Linked DNA regions of Drosophila melanogaster. The protein of the gene in region 1 interacts with the protein of each later gene in a pairwise test. Each region holds a gene or a part of one and is shown in the gene's direction. Other genes may lie near its edges. The genes, in order: CG10654, rau, vnd and gcm2.

Region 1 (6,180 bases):
CAGCGAGCTGTTCCACAAGAAGGAGGAGGTTGGCAATCTTCAGGCGGAGATAAGGGGCTTGGAGTCTGCGCAAGCCAACTTGCACGCAGAGATCGATTCCCTTCAGGACACTTTGGCCGAGAAGGAGCAGTTCTACGTGCAGCGGGACATTAAATCGAATGCCACACTTGCGCAGCACAAAAAGCTGATTGACTACCTTCAGGTATAGCTAGTTTATATATATTCTTTTTAAGAGAATAGTTAATGAGATTAAAAACATTTTTGTATTTATATTTTAGCTCAAAGTTGAGGACCTATCCGCCAAGAAGAAAAAGACATTGGCGGACAAACTTTTCGGTTCTAGCCACACAAACAAGGAGAACGTGTCACCCAATGACGTGGAATCTTCCATTCTGTATCGCGCTCTAAAGGAGGAACTGAAGCGAGAACAAAAGATGAACAGCTTGCTGAAGGAGCAGTTGGCTCAGTTGAATGGTGGGATTTCTTTAGATTTCGCTTGATGTTTGTATCTAATTGTATATTTCCTTTAGGAACTGCAACCTTGCGCTCTCCACGCAAATCTGCAGCTGTTAATGGCGACTCCGATGCACCCAAACAGAGACCCGTAAGCATTGCTGCCTTGCCACGTTCTCCACAGAAGCAGCAGCAGCCCCTGAAGCGCACCACCAGCCAGGTGGAGCTGAAGACGACGGCGGAGAAACCGACTAAAGTAACCATTGAGAACCAGGCTCATCACCGTTTCGAACTGGCCCTGCAGGAGTCCAAGGTGGATGCCGTCAACTGTGTAGTTTGCGAAAAGGCCGTCGTTGCCGGTTCGCCGTTCTGGAAATGCAAGGAGTGCAAAGATGTTACGCATCGCAAGTGTCGCTCCAATGTTCAGAGCCATTGCGGATCCACCAAGCCGACTGCACCGTCAGCCGATGATCTTAGCAGTATTCAATCTGTCTCCAGCTTGACTTTGGATAGCGTAGATGTTGCGGGTGGTACAACCAGCGGTGGCGAGTACATTGGATCGCTGGTCTACAGTTCGGATGGTGCAGAAGATCAGGCACGGAAGGAGATCGAAGTGAACTGCGCCTTTGAAGTGGCCGAGCAGCAAATACTCCTATTGGGCTGTAACACGGGACTGTATGCGTATCACTTGGACTCGCAGCGATTGGTGCACATTTCTGGTCTCGAATCGGTGAGCTGCATGTCCATTTGCAAGCGCCTGGCTAAGGCTATAATGGTGGGCACAGTTGGCGAGAAGCTATATCAATGTGACTACCGCCAGCTGGAGTCACGCTGTCAGAGCTCCAGTTCGTGTCACAAGCCTGTGCTGGAAACGTCGGCCATTGAGCTGCCATTTGCCAATCGCACGCCATCGGAGAAATGGAAACTAGTGCTGATCTCCGATGAGGCGGAGAACGCATTGGATTCGGTGGCTATTGCGGCCACGTCCACTAGGATTGTCATCTTGAAGTACGACCTTAAGCTGCACATGTTTAAGCCAGTTCGAGCCTTGGACACGGCCACGCCGGTCACATCCATATTCTTTACGCGTCACTCGGCCATTGTTAGCTCGGATAAGTTCTACGAGATCGATTTGGACAACTATGCGGCTGAGGAGTTTGTGGATCTGTCCGATAAGTCAATGGAGAGCACTGCCAAGTGCCAGCCCCTAACTGCGGTGCGCATCTCACGACAAGAGTATCTGCTCTGCTTTGCCGAATATGGCGTCTTTGTGGACGAGTTTGGCTGCAGATCCAGGCCGTACGATTTGAACTGGGTCTATGCACCCACTGGATTTGTTTACCGCGATCCATTCCTATTCATATCGCACTATCAAAGCGTGCAGATAGTCCGTTTGCATCGGTCGTTCAGCAAGGAAATGGCCAGCGGGGATAACGCATCGGAGAATTCGGAATCCCCGGAACTGCAGCGCGTCTACTTGCCCCACTACATGTCCACGCTGCTGGCCAACAGCGGAGATGTCAATCTCTATGCCGTGGCCATCGATCAGAGGCCCTGCAATGGAACACAGAAGATCTACCATCTGGACACGATGCAGGCATTCAAGCAGAAGTTCAATATCTCCATGGAAACGCTGTCTTCAGTGGCCACTTCTGTGACTTTGGGCTCGACTGTCACCGGAAATAGCATATAGATGAAGGATATATATTAACTAAACGAATGGACAAAGCAAAATACTACAAACTGAGTAGTTGTAGTTATATCTAGGGTTAGGATATGCTATACATTTGGATTATTATTATTTTAACTTGTCAGAACATATGTTTTTTCACAATCTTTTTCATGTGTAACGATTGCCTAAAATCACATGGCAGAATCTTTTAAAAATTACTTAATTTACTCTTTAAATACTTTGTGCTGTATACACAAATAAAACTTGAGATTTTGATAAAAAAGGTAATTCATATTAAATTAATATATTTATTTTGATCACTAAAATATCGAAGCATATTAAAGGAAATATTTTTTAATTAATTAAAGAAGTCGCATAATATTTTAAATCAATTTTACTATGCAGGATAGCTTTTCGAATAGAATAGTTGGGGGCATGGAGTCGACGCCAAGCTTTTGGGGCTGATCCCACGCAGCTTTTCGGCAGCAGCTTTCAATGTCCCGCAATTCGAAAGCCCCGGAAATGGAATCGTGCTCTCCGCTGGCATTACTGCCATCGTTGGCTTGGCCGCTGGACGCCGGACTGCTGCACTGCCGCCGTCGCAGATTGTGTTAATTGATTTCAATTGGCTCCACGCCATTTGAGTGGCCCGTTGAATCTCCCGACGATGCCAGCAACGATGTTTGATTCCCAGCTGAGTTTGTGCGCGGGTCGCATTGTCGCCGATTCCACCACCACCACTACCTCCGGCATGGATGGATGCGATGGTGCCAAGACGATGATATGCCGCGCTTGTCTTGTGCTACTGGGTCCGCAGGATGCGTGTCACAATCTGGACAGCGAACAGGATCTGGCCAGCAAGTACTACGGCTGTACTGGAGAGGATGCCGTTAGGGATTTGCCACCCCAGTTGGTGCTGAAAAGCATCTGCGAGTGCTGCTATCAGTTGGTGCAAAAGTTCCACGACTTTCAACGCATGTGCGCAGAGTCCTTGCGCAATTTTGAGAAGCTGCTGCAGGACATCGACATCGGATGCCACAAACTGGAGGACCACACTTGGCACGACTTGGACACCCCCTCGGAGAGCAACGAGTCCACTAATCCGGAAGCCCAGTCGCACGCACCCTGCATCGCAGCGACGCAGGAGATTGTGAGTTTTATCTGGCCACAAGTGTGCCTGCCTCTGGCCGTAATCTTATCTAGAATCACATTGGGTGCTTCGCTCGAGGTGTGTTGCCTAGCAGCCAAGCAAAGACAATACTGCTCCCCATTCCCCGCCATAAACAAAAACATTTCGACAGCGTTTGTTTGTGTTGTACTATTTTTGTTTGGTGGGTGATAGCACTCGAAAAGGAGGCACGTCCCAATCTATTGGGTATTTTTAAATTTTCCACTAATAAAATTGGGAAGATGGCAACACGCCTCGATTTATGGCTCCTCCAAATAAGAAAGTCGATTTTAAAGGCCAGTTTTATCTAGAATAGATAAATGTGTTCCCTAACTTTCACTCATTTTAGATATTATTTATAGCGCCTTTAATATTTTTAGCATTAAAAAACTAAACTAAACAGATAAGTGACCGCCAAAAGTTCGGTTCACAAAATATTACTTTCATTTTATCATCTTCTAAGTCGAGCGATAAGATAATCTTAATAGCAAATTAAGGAAAAATTTCCACTTTAAAGTAATGAGTAAACATAATGTAATTCCTACCCTTACTACAAATTACTTAACTCAACCAAAAGCAGTTTGTTTTTATATGCTTAGACCCTTTTTACATAAAAAATTCCTTCATAATAGATATGTACAGAATTCCCACAAAAAAAAAAAAAAACCACCACCATTCAGTTTGCTATGGTAATTAAATATATAATACCCTAAATTTTCCAGGAGGAAGTCTACGTAATAGAGGACGAGTCAGCCAAACAGGATCTGGGCCAGGAGAAGCTATCCATTTCTAGCAAGTTGCTGGGTGCCAGAAAACGACGAGGAGTGCGACACACCCTCGAGTGCCGAATTTGCCACCGTGGCTTCTACAAACCGTCGCTGCTGGAGGCCCATATGCAGCAGCATGAGGGTCTGAGACCGTATACCTGCGTCCATTGTGCCAAGAGCTATGCCCGGGCCAATCTGCTGGAGTCGCACCTGCGGCAGATGCATAACAATGCCGACGCTGCGCGGATCATCTATGCCTGTCCGAGCTGCAACAAGGTGTACACAGCGAACCGAAGTCTCAAATATCACATGAGAAGGACGCACGAAAGGTATCACGAGTCAGAGTCCCCGGATGCGCGGCACATTTGTGAGGAGTGTGGCAAGTGCTTTGCGCGAAAGGCACATCTAACGCGCCACAAGATGGTCCATGGTAGCGTTGAGGGTCGGAGATACTGCTGCGAATGCTGCGATCGCAGATTCTACACCAAGGAGAACATGGTGGATCATCTGCTGCGCAAGCACGGCAATAAGAATCTGCTGCTCAGATGCAGAAAATGCGGACGCATTTTCCAGAACAGCGTGGAGCTCAACGCTCACGGGAGGAAACACAAAGCGATGGATGTAGTTCAATAATTCGTTTTATTTGTGGTTTCAATAACATCAAGCTAACACAACTGTTACAATGATTCGAATTACTTGGAATTTTGTTATGCCAGTATTGTGGGAGAATGCCGCATAATTGGAGATACTAAGACGACGCGAATGGTTGACGAATCGATGAGGCTGCCCTAAAATTAGCTAACATTCACATAATGGCCGGCGCAGCAGCATAGTCGCTTAAAAATCATCAGTACAAAAAAATGGCGATGGCGATGGCGCGCACTCGCAGTAGTTCTCAAAAAAGTAATCATGCGTATATAAAACAATTAACTAAAATTTATCCTTAAGCTTAAAGAACGGATGACAGTTTTAAAATTACATTACCAATACATTCATTTATCATTAATTTGTAGGGAGGAGGAAAGAAATGAGAATAAAAACCAGATTATCCGTCAATCGATCGACAATTACATAAGAAACGCACGGGGTCTTTTGCCAAATGAACTATCAGCATTGAACGTTGTTGAAATTGATCTGGTGATCCACTTAACTGATGGTACTGTGTTACGGTGGTGATTGATGATTGGTTTGTTGGTTGGCAGTAGGTCTTCGGATGAGTGGAGTTGCTTGCACTATATGTAAATAAATACGCCGCAATATGAGCATAGGATATATGACAACGAATTGCCAAACTCTAGGTGTCCTTGTGCTTCTCGTAGAAGGCGTCTAGATATTTTTTGTACTCCTTTTGGTCATTCCACATCATCGCGGCCTGCGCATTCAGTGGACTCTCGTTGTTCGGTTCGCCCAGCAGGGATTGTATGGACAGCAGAATGGTGCGCACATCGTACAGGGCCGACCATTTGTCCTTCAGTATGTCCAAACAGATGGCGCCCTGCAGATCAACATTGGGATGGAAGCAGGACGTCAGGAACTTCACCACGGGTGCTGCATACGGATAGGAATTGGGAAAATCCAGTGACAAACGATACGTTTGCCCCGAATACACCGTGTTCCGTGGACCCGCTATGGTGCCCACCCACTTGAAGATGTTCTCGCCGTCCGGAAACGCTGAGATGCCCCTCTCGTTGGCCATCATCAGGTTCATCAGTTCCTTGTGCAGTCTGTGGGTGAGTGTGAGTGTGTGTGTATATTGGCGGATTATCTAGGCTGCACCATGTGCTACTCACCTTTTGCTCACGGCGTGATTGTCTTTCACGGGCATGGAGTCATCGCTGTGCTTGCTGCCGCCGCCGCCTGCTCCACCACTTTGCTCGGGGCTGATATTCTGCGCCATGACTATATATCTACGTCTATATATGTAGGATGCTAGTGCTATCCGCTGTTTGGCTTTCAGTATGTGCGTGTAATTTAGCGCGCTTCGTGGCGGTCGGGTTTTCGATTCTCAATTGTGATTATATGTACTGTATAGTGGAAATTTAGTTTGATCGGTCGGAATACGCGTCTGTTGCTTTTTCAGATATTTTTTTTTTCACTTTTGTGTGAAAACAAAATGGAAG
Region 2 (6,548 bases), on another chromosome or scaffold:
AAACTTCTGTAACTTAATTATTATCATTATGAATTCAAGCCACTGCAAGTAATTCTCCGTTTAGCTGCTTCGCCCAGCAGAACTTGATATCGAAGTGGTTTCATCAAGAGGTCGGTAAATGAGTTATGAATCCTTGATATCCTTGACGCCTTTTCGCTTGACCTGGCGAAGGCGAGGCCACCTGGCTACGAAATGGCCAGGACATCGGCGGAAGTCCTCCCGCCCTTCCGTCCCTCGACCCGCACTCCAGGACTTGTCTCTGACCCAACTGCCGATGCCACCTGTTTGGGTCTGCAAGCTGTCGCCCCTCAGCTGCTGAAAGTTTGGTGTTTTATTCGGTTTCGGCTTTAATGAGGACCTCCGCTAAGCCGCTCGTGGCACTTGCCACTTGAGCAGACGCCGCAATCGGAAGTCCTTGTTTATGACATGGATACTGAAGCCAACGGCCAGCCAATATCAGCTGCTTTGCTAACCGAACTTGATTTATATCCACCAATTGAGACGATCTCGTTTGGGGTAAGTGATGTTTAGGCCTTAAACGGATAGCTCTTTACTCCGATGCCAACTAATTCGCTGTGCAATCATTTCGGTACAACCAAAGCGGCCTTAACAGGCTACCACCACTTAGTGGCAGGCCGTCTAAACAAATCATTTGAGCGCAAACTTCATCTCGGGTGCCTGCAACTTGATAGATGGCATGAATAGAGTAGCCCTCGCCTTGCGCTTCTCTGCCTCTTTTCGTTTTTTATTTATGGTTTACAGCTACTATTTATAGGAAATGTGCTCAGCACGCAAAAAGTCAGTCGGTGCTTTTTGCACCGAGGGGGAAGTCGGAATCGCAACCCACTTGACAGACTTCGCTGCCATCCGGAGCAGATGCTGATGCAGATGCAGATACAGTTGCAGATGCAGATACAGATACGGATACAAACCAACACAAGTGCAGCTCGAGGCGAGTGTGTTTGGGCGATCCGAGCTCCAACATTTTTGTTTACAATTGGAGCACGTCTGTTTTGGCTGCGGCAGCTGCTGACCATTAGCCATTAACTTGCAGCCGGCCGCGCTGAGTCCGCAATTGCAACTCCATGCGCGTACAGGCCGAATTACCAGGGCAGAACTCGAAAGATTTCTGTTTGTGTTTGGAAGATTGTTGCAAAACATTGTTTCATATTAAATATGATATGCTTTTGTTTTCAATTCCGTGGCATATAATTACAAGTTCGACGGCAAGGGCATCAAATATTTTACTTTAAGCTTTTTCGATGGGCCGTCATGAACAGTTTCGTAGGCTCTACTGTATTTGAGCTGAACAAACACTGTTACTTCTGTAACTGGAGCATACCTTCGCTGCGACTTCATCTTCATCTGGAGTCTGGTGGACTGGAGGAGAGCAGGGGACCTGCATCCGAGTCTGAGCTGCCCTCCCTCAAACTGGGCTGGTGTGTACTTTTCACACGGCTGTGTGAAAAGCGTGCTATGATACCATTTTCATGTCCGCACAGTGCTGCACAAATATTTAACCGTTGGTCAGAGGAATGCCACTTAGCTACAAGATGTAACTTTTTGTGCCCCGAGGACAAACTTTGATACCCTTCAGTCAGAACGGAGAATGTTCTAAGGAGCCAAGCAATTTGACTGGGCTTTATTAACACCTTCGAACAGATCTTTCGGCTTCAATGTGAATACAAAACCAGTATCAATTTGTTAAACGGCGACCTCTAATTAGGGCCTGATTCATGAATTCTTAATTGACCGCCCCGGGTCACATGCAAACATAACTTGCCGTGCTCCAACTAATTAAATTACTCTCAAAAAGCAAACAAATAAAATTGGTTCCGCATTTTTCGCTCAGATTTTCACAACTCTGCGAGTCCGTCGTCCATCAGCGACATCGACTCATCAAGTTCATCTATCAAAGTCTAATGAATTTTACTGGCGCATCAGTTGGTTGGTTTTTTCCTTCCTTTTCATTCGCAAATTATCGAGCAACAAAAAATCTGTTATTTATTTTTGTTTTTCGCTTCGCTGATGATAATTTCACTTTCATTAATAATTTTTGGACTTTTTGACTTTGTCATAATTAATTTTTAAACTTTTGCTTTTCTTTGTTGTTTCTGTGGGGTCTAAAAAACATCAAACCGAAGCAATCTACGACTTGCCGGAATGGAATATCTCGCCTGAATGTTGAACTTTCTTTCACCTTTTCAGTTTACATACTGCCAAAGTTCAGGGCTTATTTCCTGGATTTAGTTTCGCCAGACTTAAAGTTACAAAATCGATCCTGTTAATCGAATACTATAGAAGGAGTCTTAAGGTCTACCTATTAAAAATGCATCAGCTTCATATTGATTGTTGTGGAAACTGTTAAGGTAGTACAGTTTTTGAATTTTCTTGTTGTTTAGTAACTAAATAAACTACTAATGCCGTTCTAGCGTGAACACATATATACATACGATTACTAGCTAAAGTCTTCTGCTTTGAAAACTCCCTGATTTATTACAAGTCCGTAAACTCTAGCCGTGCCTCGCCCTTCAACTTTGGTCATTTATGTAGCTCTGCCCAAGCCCATCCGGCGTCGCTCGACCGCGAATCCCCATCCCCAGATTTCCATGAGGAAACCCACATGCCGGCAAAGTCTAAGTCTGATTGGAAACCAGTTTTCCTCTCTCCGAAAAGAGCGAGCCGCAGACAGAACTAGTTCGCCCGCTCACTCGCCCACGAAGCGCCAACCCACACCCCCAGTGGCTCCATTATGAACGATTTGCGTTTTCCCAAAATCCATTCACCTAACATTCATACTATTCACATGGTATCAGATCAGCTTGGCTCATTTCAAGTTGAATTAAAGTCCCCTGTAGAAGATAAGAAGAGAGAGAATTTTATAGTCAGCTTAAAAAAATTAAATATTAGTTATCAAATTATTAAATAACTTGCTAACTGCAAGTATCTGCGTTGCTTTCCGCTGATCAAGCTAGCTATAGTTTTTTTCTGAGTGCAGAGAGGCGAGAGCGCGAGAGCCAGCTCACACACACATACAAAACAGGTATCTGAATGCGACTCCTCTCAGCGGGTTAGACCTCGCAGACGCTAGCCGTGCGGCTTCAGTGCGTCTGTAAACACTGCCGAGTGCGGTACTCAATCTACATTAGCTCCGCTCGAAAATTTCCAATTCTTAGTGAACTGGCTAACGGTAGCGAGCCTATTCGAACGAAAGTGAATGTGCGTCCAGATCTAAAATAAAATTGGTACGAAAGCCAAAGGAATATACATATGTACAAAAAGTGAACAAATTCGGATAGAAACTCAAAGTGCAACGCTAAAATAAAAATCAGTGCAGCTGCTTCCTGAGTGCACCTGTTTCCCCAGCAGGGAGCACGTACGCATACGCACCTTTGGATACGCGAAGAAATGCGAAGTGGCGTAGAGTGCTTGATAACTTAATGCCAAGCAGCCAAAGGGCCCTAAAAGCGGCAGCCGAAGAAAAACGACGCGACCTTGTCTTGTCTTCGCACTCCGGACTTCTTATACCGCCATCCATCAAAGTCTCGGGCCTTAAGGTCTTGGGATTACACACAAATCACATTTGGATACTACAAATCATACGCTAGAAGGTAAGCGCCCGATCGCTGGTCCAGTTTTCGCTCTTCATCTAGAAAGTTTGATTGCTAGACGAGATCTAGTTCGGTCGATTGGGTTTCTTCTCGCCTTGGCGAAAGTCCAGAATTTTCACAGCCCACTCTCCTGCACTCAATTATCGAATTGCGCGATTAGATCCAGACAGTTTCGCTGGCCAGAGGAGTTGATTGAACCCGCAACGGTAACCAAGCTGTTGGCCAGTCACTTCCTCCATTCCCGAGGTCATCTAGGGGGATTACAATGCAAATACGGAATTGCTGAGCATCATTGTCCGGTTCTTGGCCTCCGACAAGTGTACATCCGTGGATCTGCAACTCGACAATTTGCTCAGCATTTTTTTGAATTTTTATGCAAATATTTCAAACTTCCATTAGAGGGCCACACAGGCGGACATAAGACCTTCCCAGCTATTTTGGAAATGCATAAACATTTCATGTAAATTTCTTGGTCGAGTGACTCTCTTAATTAGTCGAGTTGCTTTGTTGGCCGATTATGAATGACACAAACTTTGGGTCTCGACCAAACATTTGATTTGATGCATATCTTGTAGATTTCTGTGAGAAAATCCGTCTCTGTTGTTTCAAGCTCAGATGAATGATATCACTCAGTTCGGTAACAATGCTCATTGGGGATTTTCGATTAACAATGCCCCCCAATCGGATACACATGTGTATCATTTCATTTGTCTTTGCTGTGCTTATTGTCAAACTCCTTAATGTCAATTCCACATAATATCATCTAATGAGGAGTTGCAATAATAAGTTAGCATTGTCCACCAGACGGCGGTGTAACCATGATTACGAGTGGGGAAAATCCCGATGTCCAAAAGCGGTTGGTTTTGATTATAAAATTGCTAGCCTGAGGTGGTGGTTACCATCACTTTCTCGCAATTTTCAACGCAACCGCAGAAAAGTATTGATATCGAATTAATTTCCTGTCCTCTCGCACACAGGAGTATTCGGTCTGGAGCATTGTTTTCCTGTGGACACTGAGGGGCTAAAGATTTCACATACCAAGCACGTAGCCTCAGACCGTTTGGCCCAACTTGTTGTCTTTGTTAGGTTCTATTTGGCTAATTAAAAATCAGGAAATGCACGAGTACAATACGCCCCAGAGGGCTCAACGTGCTGCGATCCCATCCTGAATTTCAGAAGACTACGTGAGAGAGGGATTACCTTTTTGGGCCTACCTGCTCGTGTGCTACTGTCAAGTGCGGTTTCCTTCAGTTTAGCGCCTTCTGCTTCGATTTCGGAACAGGTAGTACCACCAAATCTGTGCTTAACAGAAGTATCTTGTATTGGGCTGGATACGTGAGCCATGAAAGGATATTCGCCTCATTTAGTCTTCACATTGCACACACGTAGTACTTGCGAGGGGCGTTTTAAAAGGAAGTAGTTCTATTGATTAATCGATGGCAGGAAGTCGAGGGTGGTCTGCATCAGGGATCGTTTATCTTTCGCTGGAGATCTTGGCACTAACATCTCAATTCGCTTTTATAGTTTTTAGCCATTTTCTATCATATTTGTATTTAAGAGCTCCATTCCAGTGAATGGTTGAACAAACCATTTTGTATAATTTCCTCGGTAATTTATGCGTGGCTTTATAGCTTGAGGAAGTTGCTTGACTTCCATATACAGTTATGTACATTCAAGTCTATTGTTTCTTCATCTAACCAAAGACACACCCGCACTGGCAATAAAAAGACAATAGCATTTGTCAATCGACATAAATGTGCGCTAACCGGATTTTTGCGTACATATATGTAAAAGTTCTACTCTAAATTATTCCGGCTATAAAATAAAACAATTTATTTTACTGCAATTTTCCTAAGCTATTTTATTTTATTTCACACCCGAAGTCGTACATTCTCTTGTTGATTCTTAAATTGATTTACAATTTATTCGAGCGTTGGCAACACAATTTGATGTTGGAGCTTAGCATTCCGAAATATTCAAAATTCAATTGAAATGAATGCTGGCCCGAATCGGGGGTTTTTTTCGGTTATATATTATGCACTGCAGCCTCGTTTAACGTTTCTCGCTAACTCGGCTAAATTACAGCGAAAATCGTACTGAGTCAGCGGCTTCAAAATGGTAAATTCAATAAACAAGTTCAGCAGCGAAATGAAAAAATAATATACGACTTCTTTAATATAAATGATGGCACAAAGTCAGCAAAAAACTGGAAGTTGGCGCTTTTACTCGTGGTTTTTCTCTCAGCCGCTCTCGGTTGATATTTTTTTTTGTTGACACTTCGTTTTGTTAACAATTAATTAACAAAAAACCAAGGTACACAAAGCCTGTTAACTGTTTGTTTGCGCACGGCAACCTGTGAGATATGGTGGCGTAAAACAATTATAACGCCTTATGGCATCTGGTTTTCTCTAGCACTACAATGTATAATTCGAAACGATTAGGCATTGGGGAATTTGTGTGTTAAGTGATTCCGTATTGATTTGGCTTTCAGCGAAACTATGTAGTATTAGTCATAAGAAGCAAATTTGCATTGTAAATGGGTTACTGCGAAAAGAGCTTAGAGATTAAGTTGTACTGATGATCAGTCTTCTTATGATAGGAACATCTTGTCTTGGGAAATACCTTTCACATTTTAGTAGATTGTCCTAGATTAATATCCCTTTATTACATTATATAAGCGCAGGTGTCTTCGCTGATCCCCATACTTTGCTTTACGAGCAGAAAAAGTTCATCTGGAACTTTCTTCTGTCCAATTGAGTTTCTTCACCTCGCTTTTATCACTTTTTCCAGCAGTTCAGATGATCCATTAGGGTCAAAAGCTGGGTAACCTTTCGCTATGAACCGAGCAAAACCTCGTAAAACTTTCATTAGGCCGTAAATCTAGCTGCGAAATGTATCTCACAGTGGCCATCTTATCGGCTGGGAAATCGTTCTCGC
Region 3 (9,129 bases), on another chromosome or scaffold:
GGAGGACGACAAGGACGAGAGCTACAATTGAAGTTGTTTGTACTTAGAAATAAGCACAAACAAAGTAGTTTGAAGTGCGGAAAATACAGAAGCATGCATACAAAAATAAATAAATACACAAATAAAGGAGCAGAGGGCAATAAAAAACAAACGAGTTTTTGCGGGAATCGAATTGAATTCGTGTGTAATTCGAATGCCAGCGCTCCACACAAACACAGATAAATCCATGAGATACTAAAACTTCCTGCGGAAGCTAAGCCATAACAACAACGGCGACGCACACAAAGGTTTTACTTTGATATTAAATGCAACATCATTATTAAGCCCAATAACAATGGCCAACAACGAACGCCCGGGAAGATGGGCGTGCGCACATGGGAGAAATTTCCCCGAAAAGTCCTTTGGCGTAACCAAAATTTCCCAAACATGCGCGTCAGCGCACGGTGCGCACGGTATAACTCTCCTGCTCGCACGCTCTTCCCATTGGCCAGGCGGCCATGACGCGCCCACTTGACGGCGACGTCGTCGTCGGCAGAGGTTATTACAAGATAAAATTCTACCCCCTCCACTTACCACCTCCATTCCCCCATGGGGAGAATAATGGTGCGAAGTCATGAGCGACAGTGGGGTGCCCACTTTTAGAGGGCGGATGCTCGTGGATAGGGATCATGGAGCTTCCTTCATATACACAACATATATTTATATATATATATATATATATATATATATATATATATATGTATATGCATATTCTGATATATGTATATAGCCCCCAGCCCATATGTAAATGGGGCCAGCCCCAACGGACTCTTGCCATGTTTTCAATTGCCTCGGGCGGATACCCCCAGTTCAGTCTGTCCTGTCGTTTACTGCTCGTGCTGATTATGTATATTCCCATACTTTACTTTCGACCTCCTCGCTCGCACTCTCCCTATCTGTGAGTGTCCGGGGTGTGTCCCGAAGCCACCTCTCAAGGAACGGCGCCATGTATTGGCGTTTGAAGGATCTGCACTAATCACGAGTTGGCTTACGAGTATGAAATCGAAATTCAAATTGCACGAACAGCGACACTCCTTGTACATAAGGCCCCTATGTCAGTGCCAAAGTGGTCTATAACAGTTCCGTTGCACGCAAGAAATTTATTGCAATTCCCAAAGAACGTACCGTGAAGTAAACTAAATGTCCAAGTATAATAGCATACCACTAACACGGCAGAAGAAAATAATGCCTTCGCAAAAATAACGTTCTTTCACCGGTATGGTAATGTGAGAATGCCTTTAAAAGGGTTTTCGCAGTGCGCCTTTTAAGTATTAAAATAATAGTTCGTGGTTCAAAATAAGATTTCGTTGCTGACTAATATAAAATCACAAATATGTGATCAATCCTCCCCAGATCTAATCATGGTTGGTACTCAAAATCTCAAAGTATTACAACCCGACTGGGATTTTAAATGATGAATTGATCTGATTCTTAAATAGCCAACTACATATAGAAAAGGCGAGAGCGTAATTCCAGAAAATTTTTCTTATCGCCCTCGTTCCTCAATAGGATAATGGCTGATATCACCATCTGATATTATCGTGCTAAATGCCGGTCACAATCGCATGTCTTGCCCTGTCCTGTCCTCTCCTTGGACCCACCGCATAGGCGCCACAAGTCGGGGCTGATGTTCCCGCTCCGGAAGTCCAGAGTTGCAGAGAGCTGATAATGATAAATACAATTAAATGACGCGGGGAATGCTGACAACATCAAGTGCAGAGCACTGCTGGAAGAGAACGGCCCAATCCCAGAATCCCTATCTGGGAACGTCAATCCGACGTGCCTGAGGAGGTTCGTGAGGCGCTACAATGGCCTCGCATCCACACTCACTCTCGCGCACACACAAGCAAACATACACAGAGGCTGCAGCACACACACACTCTCACTCAAGTGGCACTCTTGAGAGCGGCAGAGAAAGCAACAGGAAAGAGTTAGAGCGGGATGACGTGCGGCATAAGGACTCGGTTCACATCGTACGTCTCGCTCTGGCGACGAATGGTGGTTGGTTCTCTCGGTGGTTGAATAGGCCACTCACATTGTTGCCGTATCCTTGTTGAAAAGGACATAAGAAGCCACTTAGCGCGCCCAACAAAGCCGAGAGTCTCTCCAGTCTGGCTGTGTGCGTGTGTGTGTTTGTGTATGTGTGTGTGTGTGTGCGACTATCCGAGTATCTGCGTTATGTACCCAATGGCAGAGGGATGCAGATACAGATATGCACCACATACATAGTGATACCCAAAGACACCCCGAGCATACGACCTGGTACTTTTCTGCCGTTGGTTGTTGGGTTTTGGTTATTGGCTGTTCTGAAGCGACTTGGACTCGTGTTGAGTTCTTGATGCCTCGTTAGTTGTTGATGACACTTCAGTTTGGAATGTGTAGAGTGCGCTGCTCCGCGGACCCGTGCAACTGAGAAATCGAGAAACGACTCGCGACCCTTGAACTATCGAACTTTCCCGGTGATAAACTTAAACTTAAGCCTAAATCGAACTATGTCTGGAATTTAAGTTGCCCTACCAGGATACCCGCTTAATTCATCGCAGTGCTACCCAGTAACTACACATAAACATATTTTTTTTCCGTGCTCCGAACACCGTAAAAGCTCCAAAGTGGCGGAGAAACGCAAAAGTCCGCCCACGCCGCCACCCGCGTCGCAGCGTAGTAAATCAAACAGTGGTTCCCCGATATCGCAAAGCGATATGACCACGTCGGCGTCCTTGGAGAGGACCCCCTCAAAGCGGGATCGAGATCGCGAGCGGGACAACAGCAGCGGTCTGGGCAGCGCTGGCAGCTTGCCCGCATCGCCCCAAAGCGCTATCACGGTGAGTCCGTCCTCCCCAGCCACGCCGAAGCGCCCGCTGCGCACCTCAACGCCCTCGCTGGAGCGGAAGAGGGAGCGTGAGGATCGAGAGGACCGGGAGGATCGCAAGGAGCGGCAGGAACGGCACGAGCGAGACAGAGATCACGAGAGATTCGCCGCAGTCTTCAGCACCGCCAGCACCACCGTGCCCACGAACACAAGTTCCAGTTCCGGATTGGCGCCCGAACAGCTCCGCATTCCGACGGGTGCAGCCGCCTTCAGCGGATTTCCGGGGCTCCACAGCATGAGTAGTCTTATGCTTCCATCGTCGGCGGCTGTGGCCGCCGCAGCAGCGGCCCCGTTTCTGCCCTGGTCGCCCATCCTGCTGCCGCCGTGGAACCACGCCCTCCTACCAGCCGCCTTTTATCCGGCGGCCCTGCGAAACGCTTTGCCTGGGTAAGCACAAGGATTCCAATGGAATAATTAAAACATTGATACCTCTGGAGTGGTGAACACAAACCTATGATTCATATGTCTTGGTTACGAAAAGCATATTTTGGTGATACGTTGACACAAGTCCATTCTAGTTCTTCTAATTATGACCTCTGTTTTGTGGGCTATTTATAAACGCTTAAGCATTGGTAACACTTTGATGGCATGGATCTGGCCAAGATATGGATAATAAGGACATGCCTCAGATTGAAACAAAATTACTGACCACCGACAATACGTTTGCCTTTCATGGCTGACCACTTTGTAAAAAACAGATATGGTTTTCAAGGTTTTGGGTTCCCGATTAATTTTCTATGTCTTTCTATTAATTCTCCTAATCTAATAATTTGGAAGATTGGGCGTTGAAAGCAGAATCTGCAGAATACGCAAGACCATTAATTAATTCTCCTAATCTAATAATTTGGAAGATTGGGCGTTGAAAGCAGAATCTGCAGAATACGCAAGACCAGCCATACTTTGCAATTGCCTTCGCCTAAGCTCCGACTTAAAATCACACCCTGCGAGCCTCTGCCTCCATATTAGTGTTTAGATCCCATATAGCTGATGGACTTGTCCGGCTAATCCTGGTAGCTCTTTAAATTAACCAAGCGGGCACAGCGCGCAAGTACAGGACACAGGGTATAATTCCCCGCCTCTTTGATCTGGCAAGTACTCAAGGTCCTGGCGAATGGCGGTTGGGAAATTCTGGCTTGTTGTTCGACCCTGGCTTAGAAATTCCCGTAGGTGAGAGCCAGGGAAACCCCAATCGGGAATGACATGTGTACGACAGACATGGGACTCAGATGCCTTCGAGATACTGGCGTCACACTGTCTGGCAATGGGATTTCCGCTCAGGAGGACGGGGAATGCCCGTGTAGCCTGTCCATAGCGTGGGAAATTCGCGAGTCGGGGTCTTCGGGAAAACTCGAAATGGGAAAACCGGAAGCAAGCAAACTTGCGCCAACATGTGGCACGACCTGTTTCGACCCGTAAAGAGTCCCTGCTGACCTGTGCTGACCTGCACTGACCCGACCAGGTAGCTGCGATCCTTACGAGGCGGATTTGCGTTTAATTGTTGATGGTATTAGGCAAATCAAAACTCGGGGTCTGACCGGGACTAGGTGTCAATAATCCAGCGATTTGGGTGCACTTATTCAAAGTTAATTCCGGGGGAAATGTGCGCGTTTTCGGTTCCGAAGCATGCCTGCAGGATGCACACCCCCCACCTCCTTATCTTCTTAACAACGGCAAGTGCAAAAATCTGTGAAAGTCAGAGCGCTACAGGTAGTGCAGGTAGTTTCCTTTGCATATCCCGACCAACAGGGACCTCCTTTTGTTAAACCTTCCGGCCATTCACACGATTGACACAGGATGTCGCTGCAATAAGCATGAAACAGGGAAAAATCGTTCCACGTCCTCTAAGGAGCCATCTTTATACTCGGGGAGTCATTAATCACTCGATTATATGACAATTTGCCGGGACAATTAAGAAACTACACAGAATCTCAAGAAAAACTATTACAACTCATCTTTGGTATGCTTTTTGCCTTTTTTTCTTTAAAACTGTAGGCGAGTGCTCAATTGAAATGAGAAATAAACATTTAACTCAAATTTTTAGTGTTGAAGTTCAGTTAGAATTAACATATTGATCTCCTTGCAGCTTATTCGATGCAAAGGTGCCGTCGTCCCAACGCTCTGGCTTCCATATATCGGACATCTTGAATTTGGAGGGCTCTGAGCTGAAGAATGCAGCAGCTGCCGCCGCTGCTGCCGCCCACCATGGCAGCGATTTGAGTCACCACTCGGCCAGTGAGTCCACCAGTGGACATCGCGGCCAGGGATCTCACACCTCGCCTTCGGCGCTGTCGCCCACGCCAGCGGGCGTTTCCGCGGACGAGCACCACAATGGCAGCGGGACTGGGGGAGGAGCGGGAGAAGCGGATCACCACAGCACCACCGAGCATCACGCCCCTCCTAGCCATCCGCAGCAACAGCACCCGCACCACCAGCAGCACCACCACCCTCACCTCCTCCTCCCGCAGCAGCACCATCAGCAGGCGGTGGCCCCACTCCCTTTGGCGCACCATCAGAGCGGCGAAGCCCAAAGCCACGCCCATGCCAATGCAGCCGCCGCCCATCTGCTGGCCAGCCACAATGCAGCGGCTGCGGCTGCTGTGGCCGCCGGCCAATATCTGCCCAACCTGCCCAAGAACTTCCCGGGGAGCTTTGGCGACGAGATGTCCTCGTACCACCACATGGCCCAAACCATGCTGCAGCACTCGGGCAGGAGTGCGTGGATCAAGGAGAACGAGCTATACGGTGAGCGAATGTTTCAACTCATAAATGGATACGCATGTATCCATTTTCATTTGCTCCATTTCCAGGAGATAGCTCCTGGCCATATCAATAACCAAGTTAGAGTTGGCTTTTTGAAGAAGCAACACTTAAATGGCAGGTTGTAAGCAAGTCTTTGGATCCCAAACAAATATCCTTTTGAATCGTGGGTAGGCAAAAGAGCAACGAATTAACTTGGTTTCAAAATAGACTCATCAATGAAGTCCGCAGGAAGCTCCCTTTAAGAAATTTACAATTTTCGACTGCATTTAACCCCCGATTAACTGGCCGACTAATGATACTGTTCCGTAACTAACCACTCACTGCTCCCGAGAGCCAGAGAGTTGAAGCAGTCGAGCGATGAGGCAGCTGTATTTGCATACCCTGTGGACTCGACGGATTCACGTGCTTCCAGGGTGTGACAAGCTTTGTTTAATTCTGGCCCTGTTGTGTTTTATTTTCGTTGGCAGTTAACTGCGGATCGAAATGGGTATATAACTGGGAATCAAGGAGCAGGGGTTGGGCTTCCCCTTTAATCATGACTAATAGTTTGTATGCGCTTCACACTTGAGGATTAGCCCTGTTGTTTTTCTGGCAGTTGACGTCCTTCGTGTCCTTCGGCCAGGACATTCAATCGCTGCCCGCTCGATCGCTTCTTGTTGTTGCGGCCCAAACATTTCTCATCCTGGAAATTTATGGCACGCACTTCCGCCTCATCCCTTCCCACTTCTGTTATTATTCCTTTATTGTTTAGCTACAAATTATAGCTGCTGCCCACTTGCCGTTTTTTTATTTTCTCTTTTCTGCTCTTTTTTTGGGAGTTTCCACAGCTGTGAAGGAGTCGAGGAAGAGTCATTTTGATTATATTAAGTTATTAATTTGTTGAGTTGTCATGGTGAGCGCATGGCTTCCGTGGCAGGGCAAATGCGGCTAGCTCGGTGGGAGCTGATAGGCGAGCATTAGGAGCTCCTACGACCCTTGCATTTGTTGTTTTATCAATGTCCCACGGGGACATCACCCCGGGCAGGTGAATACACACATTAGAAGACATTTTATGAAATACATTGCAATAGGAATAGAAATGCAGATAGGACGCGTTCCGATTCTTTGGAATGCTGCCTTCGCAGCACTATATCCAAAAGTTCGAAAGCTAGGAAGAACTAAAGGGCTTCTTTTTGATTTTCTATAGTTACATGCCTCGTTTGAAGTTGCCTGAATACTGGCATAAGCCCACTTCTAATACCTCTGCAACCGCAGATCCCGCCCCAGAATATCAGAAATAGCCACACCCGGCGATAAATCACTAAATCACTATCTGTTGGAAGTTCGGAACTCTTGCGAAAGGGGGCGAACCGGAAGAGACCCGGCTACCATTGATGTGTTTGAGGTCTGGCTTTTGTGTCGTTGTCCCATTAGTATCCTGGTTGCTGGTTTTTAGTACAGGCCCAGGATCAGCAGTCATTCAGCGAGAGATCGAAGCGATCGTTTCAGGTAGACGACAAGGGAATACCCACCTAGGCATGTATTTTTGTATGTATTTGTGTGCGATCTCTGTTTGTCTCCGCCTAATTGGCGTTGTTAGGGTGAAGCTCGTAGGGGATGGGCAGGGGTTGATTTGACGCTGCGGACCATAAGGAGTGCATACATCTGGCATTTGACATTTGGATCGTTTCCGACCACAGCTTCATGTTGCGCCTAATCCAATTGCCGTAGTTGCGATACTGACTTCCCCCTTTTGTCCCGAATTCTGCATGATCACTTGGACGATGTGGAGGGGTGTGTCGCTACATTAATTTACGGCTAAAGAGGTTTCTCAATTGCTGACAAATTCCCACCCAGGGCTCGCACCCTGCCATTGCCTTTCCATTCTGTAGGACCATTGTGAAAAATGCAAATAAATAAATGGCTATCCCAAGCAATTTATTCCTCAATTAGCAGCATATTAAGAAGGGAGTTTTCTCCCGGTTTTAGCCATATATCTACTACGAAGAATTAGCACATTAACCAAAACCTTGATTTCCTCTTTGATTTCAGGTACCCAGCAGCCCGCCAGTCCGGATAGCACCTCCCCAGTTACCTCGGAAGTGTCGTACACCTACATTGGTTCCAACTGCCAGACATCGCCTGCCCTTTCCGGCGATTACAAGAGCTACAGCCGGTCGGCCGATAGCGATGCACTATCCGTGGGCGACGCCCTGCACACCCTCCATGGATCCTCTGGTAATGGAAGTGCCGGAGGCGCTCCGACGGCCCATGCCCTACACAACAACAATAATAATACGACAAACAACAATAACCACAGCCTGAAGGCCGAGGGGATCAACGGAGCAGGCAGTGGTCACGACGATAGCCTCAACGAAGATGGCATCGAGGAGGATATCGACGACGTGGACGACGCCGACGGCAGTGGCGGCGGGGATGCAAATGGATCCGACGGTCTGCCAAATAAGAAACGGAAGCGACGAGTCCTGTTCACCAAGGCGCAAACATATGAGCTGGAACGTCGGTTTCGACAACAACGTTACTTGAGTGCCCCGGAACGCGAGCACCTGGCCAGTTTGATCCGCCTGACGCCGACCCAGGTGAAGATCTGGTTTCAAAACCATCGCTACAAGACGAAGCGGGCGCAAAACGAGAAGGGCTACGAGGGTCATCCTGGTCTACTGCACGGCCATGCCACCCATCCGCATCACCCCAGTGCCCTGCCATCGCCCCGTCGGGTAGCCGTTCCAGTTCTGGTGAGGAACGGAAAGCCCTGCTTGGGCGATAGTTCCAAACTGGGAGCCGACTGCGTCTCCGTGTCATCAGCCACCGCCACCGCCATGCAGAATGCCGCCGCCCATCACTTGGTTGCCCTAAATGGAGCGGCCGCCTATCAACATGCCGCTGCAGCGGCTGCCGGCCTTCACGCCCACGCCCATGCTCATGCCCACGCCCACGGACACGGCCATCCACACGCCCACGCCCAGAGGGCCGCCTGGTGGCCCTAATATTGCTAGGAACTGGCATTCACGGGACTGGGGGCGGATAGGTGGATAGTCAGGCCCGTGGAGCGATGAGCCAGAAGACCACGCCTCCAGATTCCCAGTGAAGCCAAGTAAAAGAATATACAATAATAATTGAAACACATACAAACCCCTACTAGCGCTCAGTCTCCCGGACTTATCCTTGAGTCGTTTCTGTACATAGTTCATATATATAATCATATATATACCTAAATGACATAAATTTATCCATTCCTGGATATCAGACCAATGCCCATGACAAAAGAAAGCTACATTTCCTTCTAAATAAAAATCAATTTGCATAATACTAGTGTCTCTTGTCAAGCGCATTTAAGTCGCATAAAATTTAGAAGTAGATTCATTTTTTTTATTTTTTTTTTTTAGCCCTAAGTCCAATCCCAAAGATAAAATGTGTAAATATAATATAAAAATGAAGTAAATCTGAAAAATAGATTATTT
Region 4 (8,069 bases), on another chromosome or scaffold:
TTTGCCCGAACCATGGCTTTTTGTGGCTTTTTGATTGTTCTGTTAGGCGAAAGAAGTCATAAAATTAAATTTATGGGTCATAATTTTACGATCAAAAGTAATTCGCCCGAGAAGATGGTCTGTCTTGGGGCCATCGAAGCAATCCACCCTTGTAATTGGGTTCTAATCGAGCTCACTTATGAGACCACGACTCCTCCAAGAGGGCCATTAGTATTGGCCTAACACGTCGAGGGCTCCGCAGACATTTGTCAAAATTTACGAGAAACTTTAAAAATCAATTCCTCTTGTTCACGTTATTGTTGTTGTGCTGGTTGTTTTGTGGGTGATGTGAGTGGATATCAATCAGTCAATAGGCAAAACATTAATCCGATGAGCTTTGCTCTAGGCTCTGGGTCTCTGACTTCGTCTATTAGCGGACCTCCCAGCGTGACGGCCAATTAATTGCGTAAATGGAAAAATTGCCTTCGGTCTTTGTCTTTGCTGGGTGCCACAAAGTCACACTTCACTGTGGTCCGAGATTCGGCTACAGTCGAAGAAACAATTTGGTCGAATGTGTCAACAATCAAGTATCTGTGCAGTCCGCCATAGGGGTCATCAATATCGACGGATGTGTAGAAGATTTTTCTTAATTAGGATAGCGCCTCACTAAAGCTTTTCCCGAAGCTGTTACCTATATAACATATTTCAGAAAATATAGGTAAAACATAAACATATACATATAAACATATACAACTTCAAGCATTTTTCTTGGTGCAGTACACCAAATTAATTATTATTATTTTTGGGTCGAAAGCTTGAAAACCCATTACACCAGTTTTTATTTATTTTAACAGATCGATGATTAATTTGATGCGCCAAAAATGAAATTATGGAAATATTTTGGAACACAATGGCTTAGATGCCCCAATGACAGGCCCTTCTTGGAACAGCTGGAGCTTGGCGCTCTCGGAGCACGCGCTCATTAGAGATCGGTCCGATCACAGCGTGACTCTGGATCTATGACTTCGAGGTGGGACCACAGCGGGTGTGTGTGTGTGTGCCTACATTAAACTATCCATGCTTATAAAATAATGTTAAGCAATTAATTGCGAAAACCCCAAGCAGCTGCAAGACAGAAAACCGAACGATAAGCCGGATCGCGATAGATACTGGGGTAAACTGTTTAGCTAGTTGTGAAGTTGTGCATTTTCTACCACTTTCTGGTTGGTTCGTATATATGGTAAATGTATTTGTCACCCGTATCATTTGCTGTGGAGCGTTAAAGCGACAACAGCAGCAGCGGCAGCAGCAGCAGCCATTTCCAGGCCATCCGCGTAGTTACGCGTCTCCAGGCCCAATCCCGTATATATCTGGCCATAGTTGCAGGGGCCCAATTCCCTCCTGCCCCTTTTTAATTACGGGTCACAGTGGATGAGCGCAGGGGCGCAGCAACAGTTGCCACTGGTCGGTCGCTGCCACTTTTGTTACCATTTACATTTCCTGTCAACGGCATTTTCAATTTTCACTTTAACGCCTATTTGCTCCTCCATTTCTTTGCCTCTCCCTGTTAAATTGCTCTTCTTGGTCTGTTAATTGTGAGTGTGTGCTACCAAGTGGATGCATAAATTGTATTTTATTTTTTGTGCCCTGTAACTTTGGCCCAAATGGCGATGCGGGCTGATCAGGTGAAAACAAAAGACGCAGCAAGCATTAGGCCCAGCAATGCCCCCGCCTCACCAAAAAGTTCACCCTCTGGCTGATCTGGCCCTGATATTGTTGCCACTTGTGTATTCTCATGTTGTGGCTTTAGGAGAAATAATTTATTTGGCCAATAACCAGAGGAAAGTTGCTGTGTTTGGGGGGGAAGAACATACTTAGGTATCATTAGAAAATTTTTGAATGTTTTAGTAAATGTTTACTAATTAAAGAAAATTCAAAACTATATTTATTTCATAGTTAATATGAACAGACAACAGTCTAATGATTCAAATGCCGTTCCTTTCTAAGGCGACCCATGAAACAGAATACATATTTATACATACAAGTGACTCAAAATAAAAAGCAATCATGGCCAGTTATCGGAATGTTCAATTTACAATACGTGTTAAGCGGCATAGATCGGCATTACCCAGTCCATTAATCATCCCCCTAATCTGGCGAATATTCCAAACGATAAACCCCTGAATATCTATGCTCTGCCAAAGGTTTCCACTGCTTTTTGTTGGCATATCCTTAAACAGAGTTAAACAGAACAATGGGGACTGATAAGGGGCATAATAAGTAATTAAATTTCTGTGATGCTTATCGAGTATGTAGCCCCCACCACAGAAATTCCTCCATCTCCATCGCCGGAACTTCAAAATCTCTCTCTTCTCTTCTCTCGAAAGAGAGGAAGCCTATGTGTGCGTGTTTATCCGACCAATCGGAGGCGAGAAGAGACGACTGGAACTGGAAGCAACTGAGACTGCCTGGAAGGCAATGTATCTGACGGATACGTTTTACCACTCTGCCAGCTGCGTGGAGTTTTTTGGCAAATTATGCGGGTGGCTCGTCGCTGTATCGTCGCTTTCCCCGCTTTCCCGCTCCTCCGCCCACTTTCGAATATTTTGTTGGTTTTTGTAGGTGGAGCCAGAGCCATAATACCATTCCTTTGTTGACAAAACTTGGCACTACTACTCGCTCGCTGAAGTTTGTTTTTGTCTGCTGCTGCCGCTGCTGCTCTTTTGTTTTTCGTATCTGCCAGATACGCGCGCACATCCCGCCCTGCAGGTTGTATTCGAGGTTCAGCGAAAAGGTCGTCATTCTCACGGTTGTTTCCCATCGTCGGCGTCGCGTGCGCAATTCAGTTCAATCCAATCCAATCCGTTCCGAGGAGCTTCAACTAGCGACGGCTATCCGCGAGATACAAGTGCCCAGTGGATACAAGTGTCGCCTAATTGGATTACAATGCTCAAGTGTTGCCTGTTCGCAGGGCTTTCGAATCGCGGAAAACTCATTTAGGAGCAGTTGAGGTTTTATTGGATATTTTTAATTATACCACCTAATACCTGGATTAAAGAAGCTGCTTCAATTGGAATATGGTTGTTATGTAAGTTCTAAATAGTCCCTTTTTCGGAGATTTTCAAATGTAAATTCGAAATTTTATTGCCAAAAAATACTTTTAATAGGACAATAATCATATACTTTGTTCTCGAACCTTTTATCAAATATAATGGTAATTATTGAAATATGCTTAAAATAGGTTTCACTAAGTTTCTAAATTATTCTGCTTGGAACCCAAAGGAATATGGATTAAAAATTAATTTGCTCACATTATTCAAGGCATAGAGCTACCGAAGAATTAAAAAGCTCTCAGTACAAATGTTTCAAATTATTGCTGATCTGAACTGTGCCGACACGCGTTAAACCCAAGCCATCTGCGTAAGTGTTGAGCTTCCAAACACCTCAGATCAATCTCGGATGAAGAATGGGCCACAAATCAAACGATAAAGAGGCAGCGGGGGAGGTCAGGGAAAATGTAAATGATTTCAAACGCTTTATTATCACGCTGAGCGCGTTCCACAGCTTAGTTAATGGCACTCCGGTCCAGTCCAATCCGCTCCAAAGAGCCGCGGGGTGTGCCTCGTATTTTGGATGTTGGATTTCGGAAGGGGGATCTCGAATCTTGGAAACCGGCGGACCACACACAGTCGTAGGCGGAGCGGCGCTCGAGTGAAAGGGTCAAAGAGCCGATGATGATGATGATGCCCCCCCGGCCCCTTCGATTTATAGAGACATATTTTCTAGGTGACAAACTTATTATGAGCCCTGGACAGAGGAGGCCCAAAAATACAGATCTCGAACGAAGTGAGACGCTATCAGCATCAGATAAGCCCAACTAACGAGCGCCCCGAAGTGTCGAGCAGTCAATTTACGGACCCAAAACAAAGCGAGCCACTAGCCACGAACAGGTTCAATCGGGGGAAACCAAAGACCACCAGGCGAACCGTAGCACAGGTATTTGGTGTGTGGTTCTTGGTGCTAGATGCTGTGCAACCTGCTGACTTCCAAGTACACATAAAAACACTCAGGGGACCGAGGCGAATCGATCCATCGGCTTCGAAATCGATGGAAGACAAATTTATTGCTAATTGCAGAGCTCGCTCTCTAATAACTCCCACACATGGAGAATCTCGGCTGAGGCCCTCCATCGAGTCTAGCGATTCCCAGCTGACTCACGATCGGAGTGTCGGTTTAATATGCATCTCCGCCTCCTCAACTGGCGCTCGAATTACGATTGTGGCCAGCTTGGATTACCTGGTGCACAAGATTTGGGGCTAACGGTACCAGCCCTCTAAACTGGGCCTAAATAACCATGCGTTTCATGAGGCCCATAAACCTGGCAAACGTTTCATTTGATTGGTTTGTGTTGGGTTGGGATGGCCCCCTACGAAACAGTTTAGGGCGCAATTAAGATAGGATTTCAATTCCTTAAACGATGCTTAGGCTTTGGCGATAAAGTCACAGTTAAATGGATCACTTAAAGTTTTTACTCGATGTAAAGAGTTTTAATGTAAATAAATTCGATTTAAAAGTTAATGCTGTGACTCACAGTTTTGCCTTAACTTAGATTCCAAAAGGGCAGTGGTGTTTTTTTATTATGTGGCTACTAGAAGTGATATAAAAATCTGAACTCAAGTTAAAGTATGTTTTGTGCTCTTTGGCAAAATTCAAATATAATAATATAGTATTCTTAACTATGAATATAAAATGCAACTTATTATATATAAAATCCTCTACAGAAATGGCTACAGCTTCAAGACGCAGCAACTTCTCACACAGCAACCCGATCATTCTCAGCTTACCCAGTTTGTCCAGCCCCAAAGTCAGAGTACGCATTCGGTGCATCCGGGTCCAAGTCCTGGTCAACAGCAGGCGGGTGGCTCCATGACCATGCCGTCGTCGTCGACGGGCAAGGGAAAACGGGAGTGGGACATCAATGATGCCATTGTGCCACATGTGCCGGACCAGGAGTTCGACGAGTTCAACGAGTGGAGCGACGGGCATGTGAGGCACATCTATTCGCTGCACAACGAGGAGGCCAAGAAGCACATTTCCGGCTGGGCCATGCGCAACACGAACAACCACAACGTGAACATTCTGAAGAAGAGCTGCCTGGGCGTCCTGGTCTGCTCCCAACACTGCACCCTGCCCAACGGATCCAAGATCAACCTGCGCCCAGCCATTTGCGACAAAGCCCGGCGGAAGCAGGAGGGCAAGGCGTGTCCCAACAAAAGTTGTCGTGGCGGTAGACTAGAGATTAAACCGTGTCGCGGTCACTGCGGCTATCCGGTGACCCACTTCTGGCGGCACTCCGGCAATGCCATCTTTTTTCAGGCCAAGGGAGTGCATGATCACCTGCGTCCGGATCCGAAGAACTCCAGTGTTTCCAAGCGGGCCTTTGGACGTGTGCCGCTGGCTGGAAAGTCAGCCAACGGATCAGTCGCCAAGAAGTCGGTCATTGCGGGTCTGGTCAAGCAGGCGAAGGTGAGCTTAGATAGACATTCATTCACCCGGGATGTATCATCTTAACCATTCTTCTCTGACGACAGCAACAACACAGTCTGATTAGCAAGGTTCTTAAGCGTCCTGCTGTCAGCAATCCTCTGGCTCACACCGCATTGGATATATATCAGTATAATGGTAGGTATATAAAACAAGAATATTTAAAGATTTCTTTTACAATTTGTATCCCCCATTAGCCTGTGGCAAGTGCGCCGGTTATAGCCACTGCACTTGCAGCTACCTGGATGACAGCACCACGGCGAGGAGCCATCAGTTGTCACAATCCTCGAATTACGGCACCAATTCTTGGCCACTAAGTGGATCCGAGTCATCGGCACCCTGCGAGACGGCAGCTAATGTGTTTACGGTCAACCACCAGCACATCACCTATAACTATCCCATCTACCATGCAACTCCAGCGGCGGCCACCGCGGCACCTAGTAAATCTCCCAGTTTGCCCTACGCCTGCAGCATTTCGGAACTGGCCGCATACCAGCAATCCTCCAGCGGGAACAGCTTTGCGATGGGTGTTCCCGTGCACGGACACACACAATGCCAGGCAGTAGCCTATGATTCCAGCCCGCAACTGGCCACTCCGGAACCGGAGTTCATCAACTACTCGCAGATCAAGCATTTGGGTGGTGGCGGTGGTCAGGAGGAGATCAGCTGCAAGGCCGAACCGGGACCCACCATTAAGTACAATGCCACCGTGGAGACGCAGCCGTATGTGGAGGACAACTACGATTACTACTATAGCCCCAAGGCGGAGTACGAAATGCAACAGCACCACCACCAGCAGCAGCAGAGCCACCAACAGTTCGGTGGAAATCAGACAGCGGGACATCACTACTACGAGAGCAGTAGTGGCTATAATGGAGTCAGCTATTTCGACACAGGAACTACTACGGCACCAGGAAATACTGCAACCGGAAATGGCCTGGAAGTCGGATACGGCGGCTACTACGATCACTACACCAGCTACGAGCAACAAATGGCGGTAGCAGGTGGATTTGCCACTGCCGGAGGATCCACTGCGCCGACAGTGGCCGCGCCCCCTGGCCATCCACCGCCTCCACCACCACCGCCCACGCTGACGTACCACCATCACCATCACCACCACTTGCACCACCCAGCAGCAGCTACAGGCCTAGCCCCATCGGTCACCCATTGAATAGTACTTAACCAATCCGGACACCGGAGGATTACTCATAGTCGATAGCTAAGCATAGTAACATAGTGTTTAAAATAGTGGTGAAATCTTAATTTCCATCTGTACGTGTAGTGTTAAACGGTTTACCAATTGTTTTTCTCGGCAAATAAATTATGAAAAGTGTTGATTTGTAAAAGTAAATGTATTTAATTTAAGTGCGTAAATATAATTTCTTATTGCGCGACCAATTCAAACATAGCTAATTTTCAGCGGTCATGATGGTGCGGTTCTTGAAATCAGAGATAGATGTCGCGCTGTAAAAAAATTGTTGGTAAGAACCATGTAAAATGTAATGGTAAAAACCATGTAATGTAGACAAGCAGGTGCTCACTTAACCATAACTGTAGTAATTTTAGGACGCATTTAATGATTTGTAGTTTAAAATCGATAGATAGTAAGATATACTTTAATACGAATGATGTTTTATAATTGGCGGAAACATTTAAAGAAAAACAAATTGGCTGCCAAGACCCAAATTTTGTACCGCTTACATGGCTTGCAGTTTTTTTTTAAAAAGCCTCCTACCGGTAAGAAACTGAACTACTGCAGAGTTGCTTTACGATAAACTCACAATGACACACAGACACAGACACACAGACATAACCAGACTAAAGAGAATAGTACTACAAGTTATAATCGCTATCTTCAGCAAGAGGATTTCACATTTAAAGTAATCGCATAGTGGCCAGCAAAACCTATCGCATAGATGTGCCAATCGGTCTATCCATTCGAAATTCACCTTCACCAAACGCGACATACACATATGCAAAAAGAGAGCGTATAGCAATGAGAAGCGTGAGCGTGAGTAAAAAATCTATAAAAGCAACTGCGACGTGCTCATTTTGGTAAAAAATTTAGCTGTGCTGCAAAGAGCTGCCCGAGTGGTAATTAAGTAACTTTTGTACATTTCTACCGGTTCCGTCTCCACATCTCCCATCCAACATGGTGTACCAGGTGAAAGATAAGGTGAGTCACTTCAACCGGATCTATGGACGCATCACATCCGTCATCTATTGGGTAACTCGATAGCGCTACCCTTTGACCCCTCAGTTCCAGTTACACGTTTATTTTTTCGCTCCGGACTTTGAAAATATGGCATTGGAAGCGGCATTCCAATTAGCCACTTACTTTGAATGATTGGATTCGCTACGCTTTTTGCCATACGCTCTCCCGCGAATAGAAGGAACTCACGTTCGGTCTAGACGAGCGAGAAAGCGGAGAGCAAACGAGAAAGTTCCGAATAGCAGCACAGCGAAATGATAATGATATCATCCCGTGGACCGCAAAACGGGTCTCAACGGAAACCGAATTTTGAAATTGAAATATTCCGGACCGA

What was found.
Region 2: the proteins of CG10654 (region 1) and rau interact in a two-hybrid assay, tested with the Drosophila melanogaster proteins (one large-scale study listed by BioGRID).
Region 3: the proteins of CG10654 (region 1) and vnd interact in a two-hybrid assay, tested with the Drosophila melanogaster proteins (one large-scale study listed by BioGRID).
Region 4: the proteins of CG10654 (region 1) and gcm2 interact in a two-hybrid assay, tested with the Drosophila melanogaster proteins (one large-scale study listed by BioGRID).

Annotation. Positions count from the first base shown.
Region 1 is NT_037436.4:12,504,323-12,510,502, reverse strand, and holds CG10654 (uncharacterized protein), read left to right. Parts: upstream 1-2,662; 5' UTR 2,663-2,792; coding exon 2,793-3,353; intron 3,354-4,015; coding exon 4,016-4,693; 3' UTR 4,694-5,129; downstream 5,130-6,180. Other genes in the region: sti (sticky), read left to right, coding at 1-202, 279-474, 531-2,146; vih (vihar), read right to left, coding at 5,355-5,784, 5,851-5,957.
Region 2 is NT_033779.5:5,876,051-5,882,598, reverse strand, and holds the start of rau (rau), read left to right. Parts: upstream 1-3,100; 5' UTR 3,101-3,611; intron 3,612-6,548.
Region 3 is NC_004354.4:588,657-597,785, forward strand, and holds the start of vnd (ventral nervous system defective), read left to right. Parts: upstream 1-2,385; 5' UTR 2,386-2,738; coding exon 2,739-3,295; intron 3,296-4,991; coding exon 4,992-5,650; intron 5,651-7,699; coding exon 7,700-8,655; 3' UTR 8,656-9,129. UniProt on the Drosophila melanogaster protein: Probable transcriptional regulator involved in the regulation of the proneural AS-C genes and the neurogenic genes of the enhancer of split complex. Could specifically activate proneural genes in the ventral-most neuroectoderm.
Region 4 is NT_033779.5:9,605,842-9,613,910, forward strand, and holds gcm2 (gcm2), read left to right. Parts: upstream 1-2,720; 5' UTR 2,721-3,056; coding exon 3,057-3,067; intron 3,068-4,760; coding exon 4,761-5,505; intron 5,506-5,570; coding exon 5,571-5,661; intron 5,662-5,720; coding exon 5,721-6,694; 3' UTR 6,695-6,865; downstream 6,866-8,069. Other genes in the region: Trx2 (thioredoxin 2), read left to right, coding at 7,676-7,699. UniProt on the Drosophila melanogaster protein: Transcription factor with a minor role promoting glial cell differentiation and a more significant role in hematocyte differentiation.